Bombyx mori: one gene and its partners. The protein of the gene in region 4 interacts with the protein of the main gene of each other region in a pairwise test. Links are inferred from orthologs where the notes say so. Each region holds a gene or a part of one and is shown on either strand. Other genes may lie near its edges. The genes, in order: anillin, protein ECT2, kinesin-like protein KIF23 and rac GTPase-activating protein 1.

Evidence for each region.
Region 1: the proteins of rac GTPase-activating protein 1 (region 4) and anillin interact in a two-hybrid assay, tested with the Drosophila melanogaster proteins (2 studies listed by BioGRID). The link is inferred for Bombyx mori from reciprocal best matches to the Drosophila melanogaster genes tum and scra.
Region 2: the proteins of rac GTPase-activating protein 1 (region 4) and protein ECT2 interact in a two-hybrid assay, tested with the Drosophila melanogaster proteins (2 studies listed by BioGRID). The link is inferred for Bombyx mori from reciprocal best matches to the Drosophila melanogaster genes tum and pbl.
Region 3: the proteins of rac GTPase-activating protein 1 (region 4) and kinesin-like protein KIF23 interact in a two-hybrid assay, tested with the Drosophila melanogaster proteins (3 studies listed by BioGRID). The link is inferred for Bombyx mori from reciprocal best matches to the Drosophila melanogaster genes tum and pav.

The regions. Positions count from the first base shown.
Region 1 is NC_085126.1:7,234,454-7,239,241, reverse strand, and holds part of anillin, read left to right. Parts: coding exon 1-21; intron 22-1,167; coding exon 1,168-1,313; intron 1,314-1,575; coding exon 1,576-1,656; intron 1,657-2,288; coding exon 2,289-2,456; intron 2,457-4,171; coding exon 4,172-4,372; intron 4,373-4,788. UniProt on the Drosophila melanogaster protein: Required for cytokinesis. Essential for the structural integrity of the cleavage furrow and for completion of cleavage furrow ingression and proper formation of the midbody.
Region 2 is NC_085121.1:10,890,518-10,895,305, reverse strand, and holds part of protein ECT2, read left to right. Parts: intron 1-626; coding exon 627-839; intron 840-1,984; coding exon 1,985-2,128; intron 2,129-3,848; coding exon 3,849-4,788.
Region 3 is NC_085129.1:18,298,090-18,303,634, forward strand, and holds the start of kinesin-like protein KIF23, read right to left. Parts: upstream 3,514-5,545; 5' UTR 3,241-3,513; coding exon 634-3,240; 3' UTR 1-633. Other genes in the region: serine/threonine-protein kinase BRSK2, read left to right, coding at 4,982-5,098, 5,430-5,528.
Region 4 is NC_085114.1:3,021,903-3,026,690, forward strand, and holds part of rac GTPase-activating protein 1, read right to left. Parts: intron 4,712-4,788; coding exon 4,461-4,711; intron 3,930-4,460; coding exon 3,800-3,929; intron 3,208-3,799; coding exon 3,092-3,207; intron 2,652-3,091; coding exon 2,618-2,651; 3' UTR 1-2,617.

The DNA of each region.
Region 1 (4,788 bases), on a different chromosome or scaffold from region 4:
ACGTGCGCCAGCTCAACGCCGGTCCGTACTGTGTGCGGTCTTGTAGCCGACTCTTTTATTTATCTAAATTTATTTTTATTTATTTATTTATTTATTACAAAAACATACAATTTTAATCATAATAACAAATATTGAAACGATGTTATCTGCTGTAGTCATAGACTGTGTTGCAGATAACAACGCCAACCCCTACACACAACGAACAATAACATATAAATTTAAATTTAAATTTAAATTTAAATATATATAATTTTTTTAAATAATATAATTTAAATATATATTATATTTAAATATAAATATATAAAAAAAATGGTACTTTTGGTACATTCCCGATCCTGTGGACAAAATGGAAAGCAGTCGACGTCGCCTCAAACACGTCATTTCGGATCCTCCAGATCCACTAACGTGCTTCTAAGTACCTCAAGCACCAGTCATCGTTCTTGTCGAACCCGTCGCTTGCGACGAAGGGCTGGATGAGTAAATTAACCCTCAGACACAGCCCACTGAGTTTCTCGCCGGATCTTCTCAGTGGGTCACGTTTCCGATCCGGTGGTAGATTCTGCACTGGTAGCACTGCTCTTGCTAGGGTTCGTGTTAGCAACGTCGTCAGGTTCGAGCCCAGTGAGCTCGCCTACTAGTTAAGGTTACGCTGAAATAGCCTCAAGGCTATCAGCTTAGGTAGGAAAAAAAAAAGTTTGATAGCTAAACAAAACGCAGCACGATTCTCGAGAGATGGCAGCACGATCGTGGTAACGTAACTCTGCTAACTTCGTGCTACGACAGAGCCTAGCCGATGGAGGCGCGTAGACATACAGAAATAAAGTATTTGACAATAGAACCGTAATAATGTTCAAACTTATAATTTAAATCAATAATTATAGCCGAGTTTCGACTACTGGGCGGCTACTAGTCTAAATAGAAACAAAAAAATACGCAATTTATTAGAGGTAAATTAATGTTGATACTTTTGGCATGCGTAATGCGCAAAGTGCACGAGGGGGTCCGATTTATAACAAAAAAAAAAAGTTTATAACTGTTTGTTCCCTAAACTACTTAAATTTTAATACCTAAAGTAATTGGTATGTGAAAATCTTGGTTAATAAGATTGATGAAACCTTTCAGAAGAAAATTTTTTGATCTATTCATGATTAAAATGAAACGTTACAGATGGCGCCGTCGGGCATCACGCCGTGTGTCTGCTGAAATGTCGGGACAGAGTTCTGGCGACCAGCATGCAGCAAACTAAACCAACAAACAACACTATACATTTCCCCGATGAAATCAAAATGCTCGGACTCTCTAGCGATTTTAAGGTAAGTGATTTAATAGTAGCCGGTGGATGCTGGAAACTCATTGGGGAGCTTATACATACTTATTGCGTAACGGTTAACAAGCTCACGACCTAATTGATCAAAAGTGTGTAAGATGACCTCATGTATCGGTTTGGATAATGGATTTTGTATACTGTGAAGACCAGATAAACTTCATTAGTGTTCAAATCTAAGTCAATAAAATTCGTACTAATCCTATATTGCAGGAAATCGAAGAACTTAGCTATTATATTTATTTTTGCAGGTGACAGTGGAAGTTTATTTATTGCAAGCATCCAAAGAAATGTTGCCACACGATGTCAAATATCATATTTTCAACAAAAAGGTAAATTAACTTGGCCTAACTTGAAACGTTTCATACGTGTCAGCTTTAGTTGAATATTGATTTTAAACCCACTGAGTTTCTCGCCGGATCTTCTCAGTGGGTCGCGTTTCGGATCCGGTGGTAGATTCTGCGAAGCACGGCTCTTGCTGGGGTCAGTGTTAGCAACACTCCGGTTTGAGCCCCGTGAGCTCACCTACACGTTAGGGCGAAGCTGATATAGCCTCTCAAGGCTATCAGCATAGGTAGGGAAAAATATATATTGAGAGGTGTCAAGGGACACCCGGATGAAACGAAGTTCCTTTCGATTAATTACTGAAGGAATTGTAATCTTTTCTTTAAGTTATAATAAAAATCTGTATACAACAAAAATAATCATCGCGACACCACTCTGTTCAGTGCGAAATAGAAAGACGAAACGAAAATAGCTGGCTTGCTTTCTATTAGAGAGAGAGAGACAGACAGACAGACAGAGAAACACGCGCACGCCGCACGGCTTACAACTATAGCAAAGTGTCGTTACAACTTTTTGCTTTAATTTTTTCCGTCTGGAGCCCCCTTTCGCAACGCGCGATAAGGAATTTCGTTCCAATTATTATTTTAGTTGAATATTGAGTTGATTTGTTGGTTTCCAGTCGAGTTCAAAGCTCTTAACGCCGAAGTCGAAAGTGTCGGAGCTGAAAGCGCCCCGCGTGCAGAGTCCGGGCGGGCCGCACACTGTCCGCACGCCGCAGTTCCAGCTGCACGGCTACTGCATCTTTGCGCTGCAGCAGGCCTCCAGGACCAGCTTCACTTTGAATAAGGTCACTTATAATAATAATCATAAATATTCTGAGATTATATTTAATCCCATATCATCTCATCTCATTTCATTTAAATTCATCCCAGTTGATTAATGTCTCAAATTAATAATCTTCATTTCATTTCACTCCATAATATCATTTTTCATAAAAATATAAATATAAATTAAAATAAGACATGACTTAAAGGTCTTAGTTACCATAAATATCATAAAATCCCTTAAAAAAAAAAATTAATATTTACTAACAATCACGCCATGTTAACTGGTCCCGTGATAAGTTCGTAAAGTGCTTGTGTTACAGGTACCAGATAACGAAAATAAATCTAAGATTTTGATTCGACACATACATATATTTAGTATACATCCATAACCCTGGAAAAGATATTTATATTTATCATACAAATATCCTCCCTTGTCGGGATTCGAACCCGCGACCCCCTTGTCTGCCTACAAAGGCAATAAAATAAAATAAATATATTTTGAATCAATTACCTTAAGACAGTAAGTGTTGACTGGTACTACAAATCGTCACGTAATTATAAAGCGTACCTGATATGCGACTCTCCTCTCTTTTTTAAAATGAATCCTTTTTTTTAAATAATAAATAAATAAAAATGAACCAGTCAGTCAAACCAGTAATGGATTTTAAACTTTAACATCATTCTTTCTCCAAAAAATAATGTACTGCGAATATTAGATTTAACTCGGCTGGCTATTATACTATATACACACATTATGATATCACAGATTAGTCTCAACCCGCTGAGTTTCTCGCCGGATCTTCTCAGCGGGTCGCGATTCCGATCCGGTGGTAGATTCATTCGTGAAGCTGCTCTTGAGTTGTTAGGTCAGCTGTTACGTATCCTTTGAAGGCGCACGGGTAGCTGTTAACAAATCCCACCCCTCTTGACTGAGCATTTGCTCGCCCACCTGCCCTGGTAAAACTCGAAAGGCCTCCGGGCCACCAGTAACCTCTCGAACATTAAAAAAAACATTGTTCTGTCGGACAACTTAAAAAGGTAAAATTTTATACAATCAAAACCGTTTACTGCGACATCATTTAATACAACATGCCGGTTATAATAACCAAGAACAAAGGTCCCGGCTGAATGCCATATGACCGCCTTATTAAAAATATTGCTTTCTACGACATTGGTAATAACGACATACCTCATAAAACGACCACATTTAACTAATATTTCGGACAATTAGATCTGTTAGAACGACCAGCTAAGTTGTATTGTAAACAATTTGAATAGGTATCCACATTTGTCTTCAATGGCTTTTAAAATCGGGAAAGAAAACAATAGGATTTAGTTTAGTGTAGGGTCTTTTCTAATTCTTAGAAACAAAACACGTGCATGCGGTAGTCATAGCCCGCTTCTTCATATCTCTTCAGTTAGTTTGTTACTTATTTATACACAAGACGCACCAAAACTTTGTGGAGTTATTCGTGAAGCTTTCAAAATGTCGCAAAGAAAAAGAAAACAAATTAATATTGAAGAAAAATCGCGTATTATGTAAATATATTTTTCCAATAATTCCCTATCGATTTGTTTGTACTTGCACGATACACATTAAACATCACCGGTTGTTACGACTATCGGTTTTTACGACTGAATATGAACAGTCCCTTCGATGTCGTTATAACAGATTTTGACTGTATTTCATAATTGAATGATAATATTGTGCTTAATATCTTGCGTGCGGTCCCAGGTCCCTATGGGCAGTCCGCTGGAGGGCTCGGTGTGCGTGGAGGTGCGCGCGCGCGTGGCCGTGCCGCCCCCCGCGCCGCACGCCGCCTTCCTCACCGCCTTCGATGACGTCAGCGGGCTGGGCGCCTGGCACCGCCGCTGGTTCCGCCTGCAGACGCCCCGCCTGGCCTACTGGAAGTACCCTGACGATGTCCACAAGAAGGTATCACCTACTGTCACCTCAACACCTAGACAAGCTTTTTCGTTAAATTTAGACCAGTAGATAACATGATCCAGTCCCATGGTAGATCACAATAGGAAGGCCGAACTTAACCTTGAGGCTTTAGGTTGAAGTGTCAAGTATTTTATAAAGTCTTTTAAGCATCTCATCCTTAGAATCAGGATGTGCTTAGCGTCGTTAAAAGTATGTATAAGGATTTTCATTAAACAATGATTTCTTTGATCTTTAACCCTTTGATTGCCATATAGGTCACCGGTGCCCTGTGTGGCGCATTATAGTTATGATGTCGATTTCTGCTACTAAGCGCCTGAATTGTCTAACTTTTGCCTTTTTTTTATTGCTTAGATGTGTGCCACCTGGTGTTAAGTGGTTACTGTAGCCCATAGACATCCACAAAG
Region 2 (4,788 bases), on a different chromosome or scaffold from region 4:
CTCCTATATAAAATTAGCTGAAGTTACATGTGCTAGAAACAAAATTTACGTATATACGCGACGGTATAGGGTACTACCTTATGGTATGGCATGGGTATAGAGAAACGGCAAATAAGCTAACTAGCTTTTGCCCGCGACTCCGTTCGCGTGGAACAGTTACTTTGGCATAACGCTAAATTTTACCCCCACTTCATTTACGTAGAAAGTGAAAATATTTTTGAATTATAGAATGTTAAGGAGCTATTTAAACCTCTATTTTGAAACATTCTTTATTGGTGCTCCACTTGTATGGCCTTACCGTGATGTTATATAGCCTATTTATTGCCTTCCTCAGTAAATTAGTTATCTAACCCTGAAATATTTTTTCAAATCGCACCAAGAGTTCCTGAGATTAGCGCGTTCAAACAAACAAACTTTTCAGCTTTATAATATTAATTATCAAATTAGTGTGTTGTCATCGGTCGTCGATAAATCTACAAAGTTTGAATGAAATCTGGCCGATTAAAATGGGTCGAAATCGCGTCTAAAGGAGTCAGTTACAAACATACATACAAGTGAAGCTAATATAAAGCGTGTAAAAAAATTTGGTAATGTCAAACATTAATAGAGTTGTTGAATGTTGACAGACGTACCTGATAACGTTAATACACTACATGGGCGGCTCGATCCGTAAGGACATGTCGAGCAAGGTGACGCACCTGATCGCGGCCGCAGCTACGGGCGAGAAGTACAGGTACGCGTCCGGGTTCGGCCTGCCCGTGCTCGCGCGCTCCTGGGTCGACGCGTGCTGGGAACGGCGAGACGACCCCGCCTGTCTCGCGACCGACGATGTCATAATTGTAAGTATACTCACTCTTGAGACATACCGGTGGTTTTTTTTTAAAGGAATTTTATGACCTGGAAACTAAGACCTTCAAGTCATGTCTTATTTTTACTTAATTTAACTTTTATGATGTGTTTAGGGCGACGTCGACTGTTTACCATTCGGTCCACCGGATCGGCTATAAATAATTACTAGTGGCCGACTGGTAGTCGAAATTCGACTAAAATTAATTTAATTATAAGTTTGAACATTATAAAGGATCTATTGTGAAAGAAAATCATACGACGTCTATAATAACAAATTTCGCCAAGGCTACACTATAGATAAATAATATTGAAGACAAACAATATTAACCTATTCTGAATTTGACCACAGACTTTAACAATAAACAAAAGAGTATATAGTATGGGTGTGTGTGTGTGTGTGTGTCAAATACATGGTTACTTTATACATAACTCTATATTCTCTATAAGTGTGGGAAATTTCATAGTCCTCTGTCCACACAATTTTCGTAAAAAGGGGTACACAGTTTTTTCTTCACGTATGAATATTTAGATATCTTGTGAATTTTTTTTACTATAGTCCGCAGCTTACGACGAACTCAACTGTAGGTACAGATTGTAGCATAGGTAGGTAAAGTAGATTGGTAGGTGGACTCATAGAACGCTGCTGCCCATTATCCAGTGAATCCCTTACTTGCCTTTCACGACATCCAAGAGAAGAGATGCGGTGGTGCTATTCTAGAGGGAGACACATACAACAAAAAATTAGTGTCTTTGAAATCACAGAACAGTTGTCGTTAAAGGAAACCTTATATACAAATATTCGAAATTATAATGTCTGCTTCCTTGTTGACATCATCATTCATGGTCGTTTTAAATCTTGTTTAATGATCATATTATTTGAATATGACCTAATAAAGTCTATTTAAAATCTATTCTGTACGAGAAGGGTATTTTCTAGAAAATATTGTAGTTCTATAGTCATATGTATGTTTATTTATTTATTTTTTATTGCCTTTGTAGGCAGACGAGCATACGGCCCACCTGATGGTAAGTGGTCATCGTCGCTCATGGACATCAGCAACGCCAGGGGCGGAGCCAAGCCGCTGCCTACCATAATATATATGTTAATAATTTTGAGATTAACGTTGTGTTACAGAAAGAACATAAATTGAAAGTTTTCGCCGGAGCGAGGGTGTGCTTCGTCGGCTTCCCGGAGGATGAGACCCAACACATGGGCGAGGTGCTCGCCAGCAACGGAGGCGCCGTCTGTCCACTCGACGATCCGGACTGTACGCACGTCGTAAGTAACATTTATTCATAATTATTTAATAATGTGATCAAATCCTCAAAGAATAGTTCCAATTGGTTAAGGGCATTGAATTTATTCAAGAATAAAATACAAGAACATACAAAACACAAATAAATTTGTTTTGTTTTTAATAAATTAATATATTGTCTCAACTGTTTTATATTCTGTCAGAGAGGCAGGCAATATTTGATAGAGAATGCTTGTCTGATTATTGAATAAAAAGCACTAAATTTCGTAACGGCAGCTCTCATTGTTAAATCTCAGATATTAGAAGCATAAAGTCGGATTTTCATAGTACCAATCTGTAATAGAACATTTCATTTTGTAATTGGCATAAATGTTTTTTTTTAGTTTATAACTATGAGAAAAAAATTTATGATTTGTTTTCTTAATTATGATCCAAAGATTGTCATACAAAACTAAGAAATAAAAAAATTAGACCCAAATCTGTATAGAAATAATTTTTACTAAAAAGTAGTTCCGATTTTATGGTTCTAATTTTGAGAAATATTGCTCTATAATAGTTACATAGATAATATATATTATTAATATTCACACATATAATATTATTCTAAATGACATTTAAGCACTTCAGTGTTATATGACACTGATCTTAAATCTCTGATGTATAAATCTATATGACCCACAAATGTAATTTTTATTTATTAAATTTTATTCAACTCTGTAGCATATGCATATGTATATAAACTTTTGGATGCATTGCGTATCTGTTTATTTATAAAATTCTCACAGTTTATTTTTAGTTTATTTTGCACATTAGTCATCAAGCTTAGCGTTGTGAAATCAGCATGTAGTATGCACGTATTACCCTCGGGAACACCAGCTATTATATTATTTACACTGCATTAGTTGTCATCTAGATATTCAGTAATGTACTCAGATATATTTTTAAATTCATTAACTATTTTGATAGTGGAGCTCTATTTAGCAACATTGTCAATGTCAGCCGTTGTTTGTGTAACACATTGAACGGCTAAGTAGTATTGCAAACACACATTATCAGCTGCTTTACGACTCAATGTCGGTAGTTGTAGTTTCATAATCAAACGACAGATAGTTATGCTAATGTTTAACTCAGATAGATACCACTGTCCCACATTCTGGTATTTGAGTGTAAGGCCATTCATACTTTCATGTGTTATTTACCTATTGTGGATACTTTTAGTTCTGTAACAGCTTAAGAGTCGCTTAGCGAGCACTAGAATTGCATCCCTCTCTTTCCTCACCGCACGACGTAAAGTCGACCCATTGTTTTTTTAAACATTATCTATAGAATGTATACTTAAAAAAAAATATAACAGGTTTTAATGACCGTACTCTGTAATTTGCGCACTTACATACACAGAACACATTTCATTTGCTGATGTGAATACTGCGCTATAATCACTGTTTGGTCGACTCAGTATTGTGCTTTCACTGTTTGCTGTCAATATTTTATTATTAGCGAACCTACAGTAGTGCAGTAGAATTATTTAATATATATAATTTTTTTATGTAAAATTAATTAATATTGACAACTCAATTCATTATTTTGGTCGAGATAAAATAATTCTTGACCAATTACATTAACATAGAACAGACACCAGCTTCTTTATGTTCTAACTATTTAATCACGTTGATAATCGTGATGCATGTTTGTATCGGAATGGCTTCATTACATCATTGCGTGGTGTGTTCACACATGTTTCAGGTTATGGCCAATGGGGAGACTTTCGGTCGTTCGCTTATCCTATCGCCTCACCAGACCACTCCGAGCTCCTCTTCTAAACCATCCCGATCGACTCCCAATCGTTCTCAGTCCACTCCAAAGACTTCGTTATACCGTAGACTATCGGCACGGCTGTCAGGATGCCGCGCTAGTCCTGTCAAACATGCAGCCGATACTAGCCATGAAGTTCTCCACGATGAAAAGGACAAACGCATACAGCGAGCTTTAAGTGAAATTCGAGAAAAACAATACACATCCAAAGATAAATTAGCTGATAGTTTAGTAGGGAAATCGTATACAGACGATTTTTATTCTTATAAAGAAGAAAAAAATAGTTCACACGGTGAACGTATAGAGTACCGAAAACATAGTAACGGCGGCAAAGAAAATAAAGATTCCCAAACGAGCCACGGATCTTTGAAATGTAACGTAAAAGATAAACGAGAAGTATTTCGTAACAAATCTATGAATGTATTTAATCTAGTCGATTGTTTCAACGAAGTTGGCTCTCTCCATTCTTCTCTCACTAAGAGCTTATGTGATCTTGATCCTAAAGGTGAATTCTTGTTGCCGACCCCCACTCGAAATAAAGAATTGCAACAATCTACGACCACTATTTCATCTGGTAAAAAAAGAAGTCGCAATTCGACTGATACAAATTTTCAAGAAAGCACCGTCGATGTGAATTTATCTCCTGATAAATGTGATGAGAATAATTGTAAATCCATAAAAAGGTTGAAAATTAAAGATTCCTTCAAATTTAAAACTAAACCAACGATTTTCAAAAAATCTAAAAGAGAATCTCTCACCAAACCCACAGGCGACATAATAGTGGAGCCAGTAAGTCCAGAAAACGTTAAACCAACAGATCCAGCTGGGGAATTCATCGCTTCTACCTCTTCTCCCATCAGATCGGAAGACG
Region 3 (5,545 bases), on a different chromosome or scaffold from region 4:
TATTTCAGTGTTTACCATTTGTATAGCAAATAAAGTTTTAAGTAAGGTTAATGATTTTGTAATAATATTCAAAGTTTTATTGGCAAAATATGTCTTAGTGACATCTCGATCTGTCTTGGTTCAGAATCCTGGGATTAAGTGAAAGACCTACCATCAGTGCCAACACGACGGTAAACAGCTTTAATGTTACTAAAACCCTAACATCAAGGAATGTCATAAGCTATCAAATAATTATGTTAGTAAGTATTACAATATAATGGTACATTTTATGAGCAAATATACAATCACAGAATGTATTTTAAGTATATATGTTCAAAAATAACATTGAGAATGTCTTGGAAAAGAAAAAAATTCACTGAATCTGTCACTGGCCACTTTTAAGTCAGTTGAAAATAGAAAGCATAAAAAAGATAATTTGAAAGTCACAAGTTCTAGATTCTACTAGAATTACAATCATGATAATAATCAGGAATGTAGGTAGTTTAACTTTTTTACATATTCAATGATTTTGAATGAAAATTCCTACCAAACCTCAATTTAATAATTATATTAAGAAATCGAACAAGTTCTATGCACCACAAAAACATATTTATATTCTTCCACTTATTTCACTTTACCTGATCACGTCCAAGATCATTCGTCATCAACTCTCTGCTTCTTACTGGTGTTTGATGGTGTTTGTGGTGGTGAAGAAGCGGTGTCTCTCCTCTTGCCGGAATGTCTAGCACAGCTATTGCTGGACAATCTCTGCGATTCCCTTGTCGGAGAAAACTGTTTTAGCATTTCAACATCATTGAATATAACTTGAGCTCCTCCCCCGCAGGTGGGTACAACATCACCTTTGTACAGTTTCGTCTCCAATTCACCATCAGTATCTTGCTCTTGCGATATAAGACAGTATTTTGACGTTTTCGAATTGGCAATGTCTTTGACCGTTGTCAGTTTATTAACGATTTTGCTATTCGTCATGCTTGGCTTCATGACTGTGCCCATTGGGACTAGCTTGTTAGGTGCGTGTTCCACCCAGCCTCGACCATCAGCTGACAATGACCGTCTATGGCGTGGATTCGCTACAGCGACCCCTCTTCTTGATGTTGGTGTGTCGCGTGATTGTGGAGCTGAACTGAATGGGGTCAAGAGGTGTGCGGGTAGAGCTCTCGGTGTGGAGCCCGGTGTAAAATGACTGGTCTGAGCACCAATTTCAGTTGTGGAGCGTGGATAATCAAAGTTGTCTCCTCTGTCTGCCATATCAACATTTAACGCTTCTTTGACTTTACGTAAACAGTTTTCTTTTTCCTCAACTGCATTTCTTAATCTTTCCTTTTCTGTGTTTATCTCTTTTGCCTTCTCCTGTTCGGCGGCAATCTTGTGGTTGTATTTTCTTTCAAGGATCTTTTTCTGCTTTTCTTTCTCAAACTTATTCTGGTTGAGCAAATATTCTTTTTCCTGTAGATCTCTCTTTAAAGATGATGTGTATTCAGTCATTTCTGCCAATTTTCTTTGGTGCGTGAGAGATGCATTTTCTGTGGCTGTCAAGCGTTCTTCTAAAGCTCGAATCCTGCGTTCAGAGGCTGCCAGCTGTCCCCTCAATGATGAGTTTTCACTTCTCACTTCTAATGATTCTTTTTCAAGATCCAACAGGGCTGACCTCAGTCTTTCATCCTTCACCGCCTTACTTCTCTTAAGTGTTTCTCTGCGACTGATTCTCATTTCTAAATGTGCCATCAGTTCCTTAATTATATGGGCAGCTTGAGAGCTATTCAGTTCCAAGCTTGGGAAGTCTGGCCCGAGGCTGTATACCAAACCTAGATCTAAGTCCAAATCTTTAGCCTCCGGTCTCGCCATATTGTCACGAGCTGTTGTGAAGAGTCTATTAGCCTTTCTGCGGCCAGACATCAAACCTATTGTTGTTGCGACATCTATTACTTGGGGTTTAGCAACTTCAACTTCTGCTGCCATCTCAGCAAATCTCATCACTTGGAGGGTTTCATCATAATCTTCAGCTCTTGGATTTGCACAGACTATCATCCTTACTTGTCCTTCACCTTCAAAGAAATTTTTGAAGAGATGAGTAATTTTAGACTCTCTATAGGGCACCATGTTATTAGCACTGTTAATTTGATTTTCTCTCAACGCTTCTAAGCAGGTTCTAAGAGTCATCAATGACTTATTAATATTCCCGGCTTCTCTTAGTCTTTGTCCTGTGTTTTTGGTTCGGTTAGTTCTTTCGCTACCAGCTAAATCAACAAGACTCAGTTGACTAATATTCAAGAACTTTTTATTTTGTATCACAGCTTCTCCCATCTCGTCAACTGGTGCCTGCACTAATCGTATTGTGAACACTGAGTGACTTCGGCTTGATTCTGCGTTCAGAGTCGTGTGAGCCATTCGTTTCCGTTTCAAACCTAAATAGAAAGCATCAAAGGCATCCTCAGCTGACTTAATCTCGATTTCAGTAACCCCGTGGACATACATATTATGGGCTGCATCTTCTCTTATTATCTTCACTGGAAGGTTCCTACTAATCGGAGGACCATCTTCTAACAAGTCAAAAACACTGTTATTGTAGATTTCTACATATGTAACGAACACAGCGTACTGATTGTCTTCATTGATACCTTCTACTTTAGTTATATCCGTGGATGCCATAGCTAAATCCGGATTCGAATTATTTTTCTTCCCAGTTTTAAATTTGTGAAGTTCCTGTTGCCTCTCTAGCATGGCCTCCGCTTCGTTTTGAATATCGAACATGTTCATTTTGTCCGGTTTGAACACATATTTGTGAGCTTGGAAATCGTTAATAGTTTTGAAAATAATATTCAAACATCGTGGTAATATCCCGCAGTTCTGGGGCTCGCCGGTCATCGTGAACGTTTTCCCGCTGCCCGTGACCCCGTAGGTGAATAACAAGCCGTTTTTACCTTTAATCAAGCCTTCGACTAACGGCAGTGAGACTTTATCGAAAACTTCTTGCTGTGACGCTTCCGGCGGGAAAATCTCTTTGAATGTGTATTTCATGGTTTTGCTGCCTTCATTTCTGTAGCTTAACGCCGTTGCTGGCGGCGTTAGGAGTAATGTGGTTGGTGATATAATCTTCATACACGACACATCACTTTCTCTTTGCATGGGGCGAAGTCTACAGTAGACTTGTACAGGATCGCGGTCCTGAGCGAGATTTTGTTTACTACGCGCCGGCGTTCGCATCTCGTTTAATCTCTGTTTCGATTTAACGGACTTCATTTTTGTTATATTTTATCGTCACATATAATATTTAAATATTTCGGTTGAATATCGCTTCAACGACTTTCAATAAATCAAAGCAACGGTCTCTGAACGGCCGTTCATGAAATATCAATATTAACTGACTAATTTAAAATCAACTTATTTGCTGTCACTTTTTAATAATGGCAGTAAAAATTATACGAAAGGATACCAAGGTCGTTTAGCGGAAATACCATTTGAGTTCGGTCGGATTATATCTACCCGTTTCTTTTTAAAGTTTTGACATTTTTGTTACTAATGATACCAGCTAATAGATTGATTTTTCCTGAAGCAACTTAGATAAATGGAAAAGTGTTGGACGGTTAAATTTGAGGGGTTTGGGTTTTGTAGGTGAGGGGCTATTTAAAAACACTGCTTCATGGTTAAATATATTACAAACATTTTGTACAGTATTACCCCATTGCAATATGTATTTTATTTTTATAAAGCCCTAAGATGTTGCACTGTCCGTGTCTAGACATAAGTCTTCGTCATGACTGAAGAGAAGACAATCATCTGTTTTAAATATTTAAATAAGCATTCCAACATTCGAAAACTGTTACTTCACATGTGACAAGTGTTGTCTGCCATTACTTACATATTCAAACTCGAACAAAAAGTCTGCAGTTGAATTTTTCTCTAAGGATGTGAACATGTGAACCAGTTTCACTAGGCCTGGTCTGCTAGATTTATTTGAACTAAAACGTCGTTTTATTTTGCATAGACGATTGAATGAGCTTAGAGCCCAGCTAGTAAAGATTTACTGGAGGGAAACCATAAATATCAAAATGTAAATATGGCCACTGACCTTGAAATGTTCGATCTAGGTCTCGATTGCGATATAAAGCAGCTAACCAATAAAACCGAAACGCATTACTTCTACGTGTCAGAAATATGCTGGTTGTTGGGTGTAACCACTCTGGGTTACGAGAGATCCTAATACCAGAAATTCTGTAAATTATTACTGTTGCAGGCTTAATTTTTATTGCATAATGTTTTCCTTCAACGTGAAATCCATTCGTAGGCATGAGCTGAGTACGTATTTCGCTTAAAAAATCGGTACCCGTCTCTAAGATTTGTACACTGACATAGTAAGATAGCTCGATGTGAATACATTGAGTACTTTATCCTTTACACTATGTCAATATTAAAAGCTAAGTATATACACGCCTGTGTGTTTGCCGCTAACACATTATTTTTAATAACCGTATTGCTACTCTATCTATCTGCAGTTGTATTGCTTCACTACTTTCCCACATTTAACGGAACACTCACCCTTATTCTGTTTTGCAGTTTTTTTTTTACTTTATTTTGAGAATTCCCAAATTTCAGGGACTTTTCATATTATTCTTGAGTGGTCACCATGATTGGCAGTTCTGCCAACATAATTATAGGAATAAAAATATTTTCGTTCTACGTAATATTAAATCAATCCGTTCATAAGCATTGCTATTATAGAATTATTGCCTACAACACTTACATCATTATTTTTTTAACAATATGTTGGAACTTAAAAAAACTTTCTTTAAGTGTACTTCTAAATCAATTCCAAATTAATTAATAAAAAACTGCCCAGTTTGAAGTTTATTATAACAGAGAATGGAACGTTTCCGCTGTCAAAGTTCGTAAACAAAACAAATTATGAAAATGTATGTAAACAAACAATGCATCGTTTAGAAATGAAAACTGTTGCTCACGAAATGGATGAAATTCATTTCAGGGTGAGAAATACGATGGTCGGAGGGCGGACGTCTGGTCGTGCGGTGTCATCTTGTACGCACTTCTCGTCGGTGCGCTGCCTTTTGACGATGATAATTTACGTCAATTACTTGAAAAGGTAAAGGGTTCTCGGTATGAATCGGCGAACGATTCCACGTAATTAAAGAGTACTTACACCGGTAACACGAATCCAGTTAAAGAATTGCAGATCTGTTATAGCATGTTAGGTAAAGGTGAAAATAATTTTCCAAGGAAATGCAAAATATAACAAAGTTAACATCATTAGTACAAAATCAATAGAATAACAAGTTTAAATTTAATCAACTGACCCGAAGCATTGGAATTGAAATTTTATATGAAAAAAAAGAATAATTTTCTTAACTAACAAATAAATAGTTATGTATGAAAATCTATGGTATAATTTAATATACATCCTTATTTGATTCAAGGTGAAACGAGGAGTGTTTCACGTGCCGCACTTTGTACCACCTGACTGCCAACAACTACTGCGTGGAATGATAGAAGTGAATCCGGAGAAGAGAATGACTGTAAGTTGTTTTTTTAT
Region 4 (4,788 bases):
AAATAACGTACAATACTTTATTATAAAGTACGGGTGGCAACCCTACTAGCGATTCACAGGGTTCTTACCTAAAACAAGGATATTTAGGCGAGAACGTATTTGATAGAGTCATGAGACACTACTATATGTTCGAGTTAGTAACGGCCGCAAACAAAATTATACAAAGATAAAAAAGAAGAAAAAAAAATACATGAAAACGCATAGTTTGTCTAAGACGTTGAATACGACTAGTCCTCCGAAACAATACATATTTGTAACACACACACACACACACGCACGCAACAAATCTATCTCTAGAATCTCATGGTTATAACTTTTTTTAATTGAGTTACCTGAAATTTTAACATGTTTTTATTGACTTGAACCTGTATCCAGATAACGAAACATTTCAAGGTAAATCACATTCATTTCAAAATAGCTGCTTTACTTCAACGGCGGATCCAGGGGGGGGGGGGTCGTGGGGGTCATGACCCCCCCCTGAGCTAGTTCCAGTACTTGAACTAACTTGGACTAATTGAAGAACATCATGATTTACTTATTATCTATTGTTATCAAAATTAAATAATAAGTTCTTAACTTGCCCACGACTATGTGACCCCCTCCTGGCGCCAAAGCTGGATCCACCCTTGCTTTACTTAAAGTATGCCCAAGTACTGTTGCCAATACAATAATTTTATTACTTTTTTTGGTGTGTTGAATTGGGTTACGACCATTTACAAAAAAATTAAAAACAATTTTACAATCACCCCACCAAACTTAGATGGTATCTAGACACAATGTGTTCTAGGATTACAACTACTTTCCTTTCACAGGTTTATAAGGGTGACCAAGCTCACAGTCCCATTTGTTGTTAAGTCGTTCCCGGAGCTCAGACACGACTGCCGCCACCCTCCCAGAGACACGAGGTCATAGTTTTAATTCTACAGTACACGCGAGCAGAATTAGCAGGGTTATTATATATTAAAAAAAAATATATTTACTAGTTAAGTACATAAAGTATGTAAACTATTGTTTAGTAATACATTTGGAAGAAAAACTAAATACTAATGACAAATTAGCTAGCTTAAGATATAATTGAATATGCAATTTCGAAAAGGGCACATCTCTGAAAATGTAAAATATTCAGGAAATAGAAAAAAAACTGATTATTTTCTAAAGCAGTGTAAAATTTAAAATATTAACTTTTGAGATATATTTAAGTGTTAATTAGCAATTGAAAATTACTGGAATTATTATAAAATGGGTGTAGGTAAGCCTCAAAACTACATGTATATGAAAAAACGCATTTGACAAAATATGCGACATGTGCCCTTTTCGAAATTGCATATTCAATTAATCTGATCATATCTTCACACCGCGGCACGCCGAGCTCGAATGCGTCAGAGTTTTTTAACGTTCTCGATAGCGTAAAAGTTAACTCAAATTTGTATGGAGTTAGAACAGCGCCCCTAGCGGCAAACGTAGGCAAACGTTTCAACTCCATACAAACTTGAGTTAACTTTTACGCTATCGAGAACGTTAAAAAACTCACAACTAAGCACACTGATGTTCGTACGTACAGTTTCACAGAACACAATTCAGTTGTGTAACTACGTCAATTATATCACATGTTCTGTCTCGTGTCTGCTCATAGTGGCAATTGAACAAACACTTCTGTACTAAAGTGATCATAAAACAACTACTACGTTAACGGAAGTTCGTTTGAGAAAGCTCTACATTGCGCTCCGACTTCACTCAGCACTCGAAATCGGCGCAGACTGCAGTAAAGCTCTTGAAAAAACTTACAATGCTACTGTTATCGTAAAGGTCATGATAACTAAACTTAATTCTAAACGACATTAACTAAGTATGTTCGAACAAATAGACGGTTATTACATTGGCGACTATTTCTACGGTTTACAATATTAAATAAAAATGATTGTCAGATGTTTCTCAAGATCCACAGCGTTTTAATTTAATTATTTAAATTGTCGGGTAGTTTACAATAATTATTAAATTATCACACATTTCCAAAACAAAGGTTTATGCAAAAGCCAATAAAGTGTCTCTCTTTTACTTGTTATTACTTTTCAAAGATTAATTTTTTTTTTTCAGTAATTGATTAATTTTAACACATAAAAAGTTGTATTTGTTTTAATAACAAAAAAAAATGTGCGAGCAAAAATAATGATAATGATAAGTACCTTACTGCTAAGTATATTTAACACTAAACATACCATAACGGGTCAAATTACCCATTTTAGACTTTAGCATTGAATATGCACGTATCATCTTATTGCTTTTGCACATTTGACTTCATGACTATTTCTTACCAATTAATCTACAATTATTATACTATTTTGTTTTGTTTTTTTAAAGGAATAGTTGTTGTATACCTTTATTTACCCGCTATGGTAGAAATAGGCATCAGTAAGTGTTGGTATGATTAGTGTTAAATGTGGATCGAGCTAACTCCGTACATCACCAAGTAAATTCAATTCAAAGTATTACAAAAGTCAAAACTACATATTAAATTATTAGTTAATTACACAAGTTTTAAATTATGAAAAAGAAGAAAATGAAAACAAACATACTTAAATGGATTGGTTAACATAAGCGTTGGCGCGCCGCCCGCTCCTCACTGGAAATAGTTGCGCTTCTTCCTCGACACACTGCGAGTACAAATTATCTATATATTAATATACGTGAAACAAAAACATTGTATCCCTTTTTACGAAAATTGCGCGAACGGAGTATGTATGAAATTTCCCACACTTATAGAGAATATAGAGAAGGAGTGCAGAATGTTGATAAATTTTTTTAAATTATGTATAACAAATACATTAAATCAATAATAAAAACATTACACACACACTACCATGTATTTGACAGACATACGCATGCATACAATATGTTTATTGTCAAACTTTTTTTTAAAGTAATAAATATAAGTAATAGTCTGTGGTCAAATTGAGAAAAGATTAAATATTGGACTTTTTGGCGGGAACGCGAGGAGTGAAGTTGTATGATTTGTTTTACCATTCACTCATGCCTATAGCTCTCAGTTATAGATTGGATCACAATTCTGTGGTGAGTTTGTGTATGAACTTGCCCCGTGTCGGCCGGCGAAAAGAAGAAGGCCCGGGGCCGCGGCGAGCCCGCGCCGTCCGCCGGGCACGCCCACTGCGCCCAGTACTCGCTCGGCAGCGACAGCATTATCTGCATCACCTGCCGTAGATAATACATATAAATCAGTTATAGATAAGCAACTCAAGCGCTCGACAAAAATGTTTACGGGCGTCGGCCACTAGATGGCTTCGCTTCGATAAGTTTCTCATTGTTCCTGTAGATGGTAGTAACATATTATCTAGCGATGCAACGATGTTCCAATACCACAGGCGGGTACCAATTTTTCTAATGAAATACGTACTTATCAAATGTTCGCAATTGACTTGCATGGTGAAGGAATAACATCGTGTAATAATAATCAAACCCGCAAAATTATAATTTGCGTAATTAATGGTGGTAGGACCTCTTGTGAGCCACTACCCCGCCTATTTCTGCCGGGAAGCAGTAATGCGTTTCGGTTTGAAGTGTGGGGCAGCTGTTGTAATTATACTGAGACCTTAGAACGCATATCTCAAGGTGGGTGGCGGCATTTACGTTATAGATGTCCATGGGCTCCAGTAACCACTTAATAAAAGGTGGGCTGTGAGCTCTTCCAAATATCTAAGAAATAAAAAAGACACTTCTTAAAACGCTCTCTGTAGCACATACAAAACGCAAATAAGAGGTTAAGTAAATTTCATTTCCATTTTACCTTGAACATCTGCGCTGTGGCGGCGTACATCTCCGCGGCTTGCGACATCATGCCGTACCCGACGACGGTCGGACCAAATATTTTAGCCAGATTGTCTATGCCCATCTCGCATTCGGGGCTCTCTGCCACTCTGTACCAAGTCATAAATTGTTATTAGTGTAAGGTCTGTAATCTAAATATTAAAAAAAAAGATTTGATGGCTTAAAGGTCTCGTTACCAGGTCGAAGTTCAAAATTTTTAAAATATTTGTTTTGATCAAATTTTGATTAAAAAAATTAAGAAAATTTTAAATATGAGAGATATAAGAAAAAATGGATGGATTGCGTGAAAGACTATATGTGTAAGAGGGGAATGAGCGAAGAAATGGCATATGATAGAGGAGTATGGAAAGAGAAAACATGTTGGTAGGACCACTTGTGAATCCGCACTGGTAGGTACCGCCCCTCTGCCTATTTCAGCCGTCAAGCAGTAATGAGTTTCGGTTTGAAGAGTGGGACAGCCGTTGTAACTATACTGAAGGTATCAGTACAACTTATATCTCAAGTTGGGTGGCGCATTTACGTTGTAGATGTCTATGGGCTCCGGTAACCACTTAACACCAGGTTGCGACGACCCCAGGTGAGTAGGAGAGGGGCTCGTGAGCGTGAGTGAGCGTGAGTACTTCTGCAGATGCAGCACGAGGAAGGCGAGCGTGTCGCGGTTGGGCGGCGGCAGCTGCGTGACGGCGTGCAGCAGCGCGGCGGCGGCGTCGGCGCGGTCGGGCAGCGCGGCGGCCTGCATGAAGTCGGCCCACAGCGCCGCGCTCACCAGCGGCTCGCGCAGTCCGCGCAGGAAGTCCTTCACGCAGCCGCACACCGCGTGCACGTCCTCGCCCGCCAGCCACGGCGACCCGTGCCCGCGCAGGAACCGCTCCTGCGCATTCACACGCATCTACTGTGTTAAAATGCATGCACGACAAATAACTTTCAAAGGGAGTTATGTGAATTTTA